Linked DNA regions of Mus musculus. The protein of the gene in region 1 interacts with the protein of each later gene in a biochemical or structural test. Links are inferred from orthologs where the notes say so. Each region holds a gene or a part of one and is shown in the gene's direction. Other genes may lie near its edges.

Region 1 (4,580 bases):
TGGCAGAAAGAGAGAGGGAAAAAGAGCTATCTGGGAACAGGTGGTCTTTTGAGAGCCTGTCCATGGTGACATGCCTCCTCCCACAAGGCCACACATTCAAATACATCCCAAATAGTTCCATCAACTAGGAGCAAAGCATTCAAATACATAGCCTTTGGGAGCTATTGTTATCAAATAACCACAGGAGAGAACCACAGTGAGGTGAACTCTGCTTTCAGGGAACACTTCTAGATTAACCCAGTATTCCAAAGGCATCATTTTGCCTTTTGGATGGTCTTTATTTGCAGTGATTCCTTTAATTTGGAATCAGTACTGCCTGCAAGAGGACATTAGCTCTCAGGTAATGTATGAGCACTGTAATCAATGTTAATCATCTCAGTCCAGTCCCAGCTGCTAGTTGTGGGCTCTGTATAACATTAAGAGTCTACCTGGAATCTTTTCCTCCCGTCTGAACTAAGAGTTCTGACTTGTTTATTCAGCTGATTTCTATGCAATTTCTGTTGTGCCATGAAATTGAGGCAGCCAATGAAGACAGCTGGTGACATGTAGGATGTCATTGTCTATGCAAATAGCTGTCACATCATTCTTCTGAGCCTCATTTTAAAACAGAAGATAGAGCTGTGCTTTGTAAACTAAGAATTGCCTACAGATTCAAGAGATTCTGTCAGCCAATGGCAGTGAGTTAAGGCAAAGAGACAAAACTGCAAGCTTTTATTAAGTTGAATGTGAGATGAAAATAAAAGATAAGGAAAGCCAGCCCTTGATAATTCTCAGATTGGTTAAAGTTTATGATCATCAATGCCCTTTGATTCTCCTTCCCCTTCCAACCACCAACTACTGAATATTTCTCTTCTCATTAACACCTGTCTAGAAGTGGGAAGGTGAAATGCTAATCAGGCAATTTAGCTAATTGTTAGCTGCTGCTAGGATTTTTTTTTCTTCCTTTCTTTCAAGTTCGGAAAGGGAAATGGTGAAATCCATTTCTAAAATGTGAACAGTGGATTTCTAAACTTTATTTCACCTTCTCTTTCTTTCACTGCTGAAATGAATTCAGATATTTTGTTTTTAATAAGGTGTTGGAATAAAACCCTGAGACGGCATACTTCTCAGAGATTGATTTTTATTGTCACATTACATGCTTCTTATTGACTAATATTTAAAAATATTAATTTTTTACAACATGACTAGCTTAAAAGAATGGCCAGGAGTTACAAATTTCAGTTCTGAGTGTAGCCCTATATAAGTGCACTTGACTAGAGGATTTGGGACAACAACAAACCAACACAGAAAAATTACTAACAACTGCCCTCCCCTCTGCCTGTGGTAGACATTACATGATCCTCCCCTAGCCAAATAAGGGAGAGAGGAATGTTCTGAGTATTAGAGGCACTAAGAATAAATCTGAGCTATCTAGGGTAAGATTACTTTCAACTCTTTATTTTATGTTTTCTGACACCAATCCCCAATCTGTAATTATATCAGAGACACTGCGGGGGCTTAGACAGCACTTTCTAGATACTCTGGCTTTGTTTTCCTCTTTTATTTATTTGCTTTTATTTATTTACTTACTTATATTTGCCTGTATCTTTAGGGCTTGAGAGTTGGTGTGTGTGTGTGTGTGTGTGTGTGTGTTCCTCCAGAGTGCCAAAAAAAAAAAAAAAAGTGCTGAAGAGTCCAAGGCAGATGAGGCTATTTTTGTTTGAAGCTGATACTTTTAGCTGAGCCACAAGTACTGCTTGGAAAGGGCTTAGGTTGTTTCCAGGGGGAGAACTCTGCAGAGAAGAGGCAAAGTTCAACAAGACAACAAAAATCAGCCAGAAAATCCAGGAAAAGGAAGAGCCCTTGTCATACCCCTCTACCAGAGTTCTCTAATCCTACCTTATTCTGCAAAGTGCCACTTGACTGGAACTCTTCACCTGCTTGATTTCTGCACCCACCATGACTGAGATCACTGCTGAAGGTACTGTTGCCTGGGGACATTATGTAAATCAACAGCCTCAGGGACGCTATAGGCTTCAGCTGGCTTCTAGTTAATTAGTTCTGTGAGTCTACACAGGATCTGCAAAATGAAATTGGAAGCTGAGCGGTTGCCAGATTTGTGTGTTTGAGGGAGCAAGGGGAGATTTATCGGGAATTTTACGTGTGGAAAGTATTTTCTGCTATGCTAGAGGCCCCACTACCCTCTCCGTTATCACCTCACCTCTATAAATAGCTGAGGACATGGTGGCAAAAAATTTAAGACAAAAATTATAAGACATGTGAGGATGGAGATGGAAAAAAATCAGAATATTATGTGTGATGTGTCAGTTTAGAAATATGATCTGGAGCATCTTTTCTTTATAGTATTTAAAATTTGAATTCTTAAATGTCTTCTCTTTCCAGCTAGGGTGCACAGCTTGCTTATATGCATCGCAGATAGAAGTGCCCTGAAGAATCATAGTCATTTTACCATTGACAAATGCTCAAAGACAAAGTTAGAAATTTCAGAAAGTCAGAGAAGTCTAACTTTTAAAAATAAAGCATTTAACTCTTAGAAATCTAGTTATTTTGTAAACTCATTTCTTGTTTCTCTATAAGTAGTGTGTTTTATATTTATATTAACATATTTTCTATTTATACACTTATAATAAATCTACAAACACTCACACCCGTCTTACTAATGAAGTAATTCTTTAAAAATAATACAGTCTGGCTTTAGTTGAGGTAAAACTATGGAAGATACGCTTAACATTCTCTCTGACAGCAATAAGTACATAAGGCAGGTGGTACTTTTGACAGTTTCCAAGTTAAATGTCATTTTGTTTTTAACGAGACTGTAAAATAGAAATCTATTTGTTTTATCTTTTGTGTGGGTAGAAATCTATGTAAAGAAAATAATTTTCCCTGAAGATTTAGGCAATATCTGTGAGGAAAAAAAATGCCTTGCTTGTATTAGTTACAGAGATAGCCTGTCACCACAAATTAATAACAATATTACTGAGAGATTTCCATTTATTAGGTATTTTGTTTAGAAACTTATGCACATTTCGTTTGTGAGACCTCACACCATTCCACTAAGTAGCAATTTGATGTCTATTTCACACACAAAAAACCCTGTTACTCAGATATTCCATGACTTCCCATTACCAAATTGTAGTCAAGATTGGGTATCAGCTCCTTGAAGCCAGCCTGTGTTTTCTCTTTTCCATTAGAGGATATAAAATTTACTGTTTGCCAGTTTTAGTTCAGAATTTGCTAACTGAATGTAAATAATATTATAATTTTTTTTTCTATACTTTGGACATTCTGTGTCATGTCGCCCTTATGTTGGCCTTGAAAAGATCTGTCTATAAAAGTGTTCTGCTTATTCCTGTACAAGGTATTAAGAAACCTCTGGGCATTCCTGTCAGCCTGTGCTTGGAACCTAGGCTGCCACTAATTTCAGACATTGCTGGCCAATCGTGCTCCTTGATTACAGTGCATGTCCTACATGCATTTGCACTTGATCCATAGCACGTTTTATTAAAGGACTGTTGTTTTGAAATAGAATTATTTGTACCCATAGGGAGTTGAAGATGTTGTGAAGCCTCTGTGGTAGGGCCCATAAAACAGCAACTGAGAAAATCTGAGTTGACTACGTGAGCACAGCATATAATTTTCTGGATAATCATCATTTCCCATAGTCTGGTCTTCGGAGTAGGTAGGGTCTCTACCATGTGATCATGAGTGTTGTACTTATTCCTTCTTTGCAATGATCTGTTTATTTGTCAGGAGAAACTTAGATTGCCAGCTCAATGAATTTGTGTTATCTGTGGTTATTACCATAGTCAGTCTCCTCAGTTTTCCAAAGGATTTGACACTTTTTCTTTACCTTGTGATTCCCACTCTTTGTTTCTCATCTATAACAACCTTTCTTCATTCTTTCTTGTTTGCCTTTCATTAAAGAGATGTTTTGTAAAGGTCTTGTTTCTCATTGTTCTTTCAGCCTTCAGTTGTCTTTTCTTTCTTCTGCTGTATTTCACTTACCACCACTTTTGTGCAAATCCCTGAAGTATAAACACTGCAGGAGTAGCCTCATAGCATTTATCTATCTCATCTTTTACTCACTGAATATGAAAAGCAAACATTTTGAAGATTTAGACCAAGGAAGAACAAGGGTGATTCATTGGATGCCTGGTATCATAATAACTCTAAGTCTTTGGCCATTGCTAATTTTGGAAGTTCACAGGTTGACACCTTGGCTTATTTACTTCTAATACATGCCACAACTACCAAACTTACTGACTCTTTCACATATATTTTTCTATTGATACTTCAACTTGGATAATTCATTCAATGAAAAAAAAGAAAACCATGTTCCATGTCAAATGTGTTCCAGGCATAGGCACTAGGTAAAACAGAAATCAAAGTTGAACCCCAAAGGACTTTATGGAAACAACAACTTTTATTCTAGCCATGATAAAGATGGTAGTGATAATACTGAGTCAATTTATTGTCTGGAGTCTTAAGATATCAGACTTCTTAAATGCCCACTTAACCCTCTCAACATCGATGTGAAACAGTTTTATTGCTATTTATAAAGTTTGAAGCTAAGGTTTAGG
Region 2 (3,819 bases), on another chromosome or scaffold:
ATGCACACACAGCTGGAAGCAAATGAAGTACAAGGAAAGGGTGCTCCATGGAGAGTGAGGGAGAGAAGATCCAAGAGATTGTTGGAGATCTTTAAGTAGGTTCTTTCAGACTACAACGTAAGGCCTCAACCATCCAATTTTACATGCATAGACTTAGCATTGCAGACCCAGGCAGTGGCATCCGAGGACACAGGCACATGTGCACACATATGCATGCACGCGCCGCTTGACATGTGGTTCTGAACAGCTCTTGCTTTTAGGAGGTCATATTTACTTTCCGGGATGTGGGATGGATTATTGAGAGCAAGTGATAGAAAGACATAGAAACATCTCGTTAGAATGTCTGCTGCTGGTGCAGTGTTTACAGAATATCTGCAGACTTTTTTCTTTGCATGGTCACGGAGAAGGGAATTCTCAAAAGAAAAGGGATGTTGGGACATGAGAAAATAGAGAGCGCAGCCCTGCCCATCTCTCTGTATATGATCCTGATGAATCGCTCACCCAAGTTGTTCTTTGTATGTAAAACAGAGCAGAGATAGCTCTGACCACATCCAATCAGAGTGAGCATCACACAGCAGAAGCAACCTAATCACTTTACAGCTGTGGCCAGCACATAGCAAGAAGGCCATGTGCTTGACAGTATTACAGTTTCTGTTCATAAAAATCATTTCTCATCCCCCAGAAGCCTGTTCTTAGAACAGAGAGTGTGTAAGTGAACTCAGAGAAGAGTCTGTCATTTTCAAGCTTGTTGTACCAGAGGTGGCTGTACAAAAGATTGGGTCAATACTGGTCCTGGCCTGTATCTGTGTCATTTGTCTCCCTGACACTCCCTCTCCATCTCCCTCTCCCTCTCCCTCTCTCTCTTCTCTCTCGCTCTCACTCTCGCTCTCGCTCTCGCTGGGGACTGAACCCCATGCATGCCAGACGAAGCAGGTCTTTACTACCAAACTTCATCCCACTTCAGCCCACTTTTAAATTTTTTATCTTGAGACAAGATCTTCATAAATGAAGCTAGCCTTGGACTATTTCTAGTTTAATCTGATGTCAAATTTGTGATCTTCCTGCCTCAGCCCCTCCTCGTGCTGGGGTTATTGGGCTTCCACAGGCCCAGCCTGACTGGAGCTCTGTTTGCATGAACTCCACATAGGATGTTGGAATGAAAACGCTTGTTTTGGAATAGATTGACCTGGGATTAATAACAAGCAATGGTCCTTGCAAATGTGAGTGGACCTCCTTGTGTAAGAGCTTATGTAACACTCATGCCTCCCCTACTAGTCCCAACCCCTGGGTTACTGGATCACCACACTGTGGTTGCCACCAGAAGGTGTCAGCTCCAAGGCAATGCTGTGCAGTTTACAGGGAGCTATTGTTCCATCCTGTGCTTTCTTGAGCCATGGGCAAGCTAGAGAAGAGCAGTTGGCTTCCCATTGAGCCCTGCACATTCCAGGCCTCTCAAAGCATGTCACAGCGAGAGGTCCTGAGCTCAGCAACTTAGCAGCCAAACACAGCAACCATTCTTCCCTGACAACACATTGGTGTGTGGCCTCTTTAACCAAAAGAGACAATCTGTCAGGCTATAGGCACTTTGTTTGAGGTTAGTTATAGAGTGAGCCATTCATCCTGGCTTCCTGGGAACAACCCAGAGTTTAGCACTGAAAGTCCTATGCCCCTGGAAGCCTTTCTCTCCTATGCAAAAGCTAGTTATCTTTCAGCTGGACAGCCATTAGGCCCCAACAAAACACCTAGCAAGCTTGGTACAGAGACTGAACCCTAATAGGTTCCACCCTTCAGCTTAACTAGCAATCAGAAGACAGGTGAATGGATTGGCTTTTGATTCTGTGAGCCTATGTGCTCTAATGGTTTTCATCAATTGCCTTTTCCATCCAAATTAGCTCTGTTAAGGCCACCCAGTGAGCATGTTCTCTTACCATCTGCTCGCTCCTCCAGCCTTAGCAAACACAGCAGAGGGAAGATAACCATGCACTGACCTTCCCCACTTTTTATTCCAACCACTCCATGACACATGTAGGCCCTCACTCTCCAGATGAGTCTTTTTCTATTGAGCTTTCTTTGATCAAAGATAAGTCCAGCCCAGACCACAAGGAATACAAGTCCCTGCTACTTCAACATTTAAGTTAAAATTGCCCAGAATCTTGCATGTTGTTACCAAAGCACACAAGCACCAACTCTTGGGTAGGTAGGCCACTGCTACTCTAAGCTAGCATTTGAATGAACGATAATCCGATTTCTGCTTATTACAGGTGGCAAAGAAGTTATCCTTGAAGATGAACGAAGTTGGCTTCTATGAGCCATTTATGGATGAGCCCAACGTCATCCCTAACAAACCGTACACAGAAGAGGAGCTTGTGGAGTTTGTGAAGGAACATCAAAGGTACCTGAGATAACATGTAGAGGATGGGGTGGGAGGATGTCAGTGTTGACAGGCCAGAGCCACGAAGAGCAACAACCTAGAGTAAGACCCAGGAGAACAAAACTGGCCAGTGTGGCTTTGTCAATCATTGACCAGTATCAAGGATGTTACCACTTCTGAATAAGGTTCTACACTTGCAGGTAGGGTTAAACTACCTCCTTCGAGTGCAGACCCCTACCCCACCCCAAGCCAGAGTAAGATACAGATGAAACTCTATACTTTCAGCGACAACCTCCTGTGGGTAGAACAACATTCCAGGTGCTTTATGGGAGCAACTTTGGCTATTCTCCAACCTATGGAGCTGGTATTCTCCCAACGTCACAGCCATGAGATAAGTCTCAATAATTAAATAATATAACCCGGGACAATTCCACACGTTCTACAGATAGCTCCCAGGATAGGGATATTTGCTAAGACTCAGAGCATCTCCAGCAGGGGATCCACAAACTTTTTCACTGAAGAACCACATAGTAAATATTTACACAGTTCTGGGGGCAAATGGCCTTTGTTGCAGCTGTTCTGCTCTGGGATCCTATCGTATAAGCATCCTTGCTCAATGTGTAAACAGATGGGTGTGGTGAGGTCTAGTTACACAAACAAGAGGTCTTGGCCTGGGCTGGCCCACCAGCTGGAGCCCTCTGCCTCTGCTCTGGAGGGAAGAGCTATCTGGGAATATGGAACATGGTAGTGGGTCCACTGTGTCACCTCTCCTCCCTCCATATCATAGACAAATGTATTCACTGAGCCTGAAGCACCCCATCCCTACGCCTGGACAGTCTTTGTCCCTGAAGAGAGTCAGTGCTGGGAGGGTAAACATGACATCTATTGTGTTTCTGATGGATGATCCTGATGACAAAAACTGGCATTCTATATTTCAATAATTGTTGTCTGTCCCATTTCCTTGTTCTTGGTTGGCTCTGGACTTTCAGGAGTGGTCTCTATCTATGATGAGAGGTCACTAGGAAGGTGCTATCTCTTTTCCCTCTGACCATCCCCATACCCTTGGTGGGCCTTGGATCTAAGAAGGCTGTGACTGGGCTGAGTGGGTTTGGGCCTAGCTCTCTCCTGACAGGGCTGGTGGAAAAGCTCTGCTTCCTTGTGGGCAGAGATGAAATCAGGGCTCCTTGGGCTTAGGCGGAGAAGCCAAAGCCATCTTTGCATGGGCTGAGGCTTAGTTTCTTCAGTGGTGAACCTTACTCAAGGGCACTCCTTTGTTTTTCAGACCCACCCTACGTCGCTTGCGCCCAGAGGACATGTTTGAAACATGGGTAAGAAAATGGCAAAGTCTTGTGGTGTGTGTCACTTAAAAAGGGTGTCCTCTGACTACGAAGTCTTTCTGAGTGGGGTGGATATATAGGGAGTGTGGTATTGGGAACACGGACTGCTTC

Evidence for each region.
Region 2: the proteins of Trdn (region 1) and Casq2 form a complex in vitro, tested with the Homo sapiens proteins (3 studies listed by BioGRID). The link is inferred for Mus musculus from reciprocal best matches to the Homo sapiens genes TRDN and CASQ2.

What each region holds. Positions count from the first base shown.
Region 1 is NC_000076.6:33,081,786-33,086,365, forward strand, and holds the start of Trdn (triadin), read left to right. Parts: upstream 1-1,697; 5' UTR 1,698-1,938; coding exon 1,939-1,960; intron 1,961-4,580. UniProt on the Homo sapiens protein: Contributes to the regulation of lumenal Ca2+ release via the sarcoplasmic reticulum calcium release channels RYR1 and RYR2, a key step in triggering skeletal and heart muscle contraction.
Region 2 is NC_000069.6:102,124,288-102,128,106, forward strand, and holds part of Casq2 (calsequestrin-2 isoform 2 precursor), read left to right. Parts: intron 1-2,261; coding exon 2,262-2,392; intron 2,393-3,653; coding exon 3,654-3,699; intron 3,700-3,819. UniProt on the Homo sapiens protein: Calsequestrin is a high-capacity, moderate affinity, calcium-binding protein and thus acts as an internal calcium store in muscle. Calcium ions are bound by clusters of acidic residues at the protein surface, especially at the interface between subunits.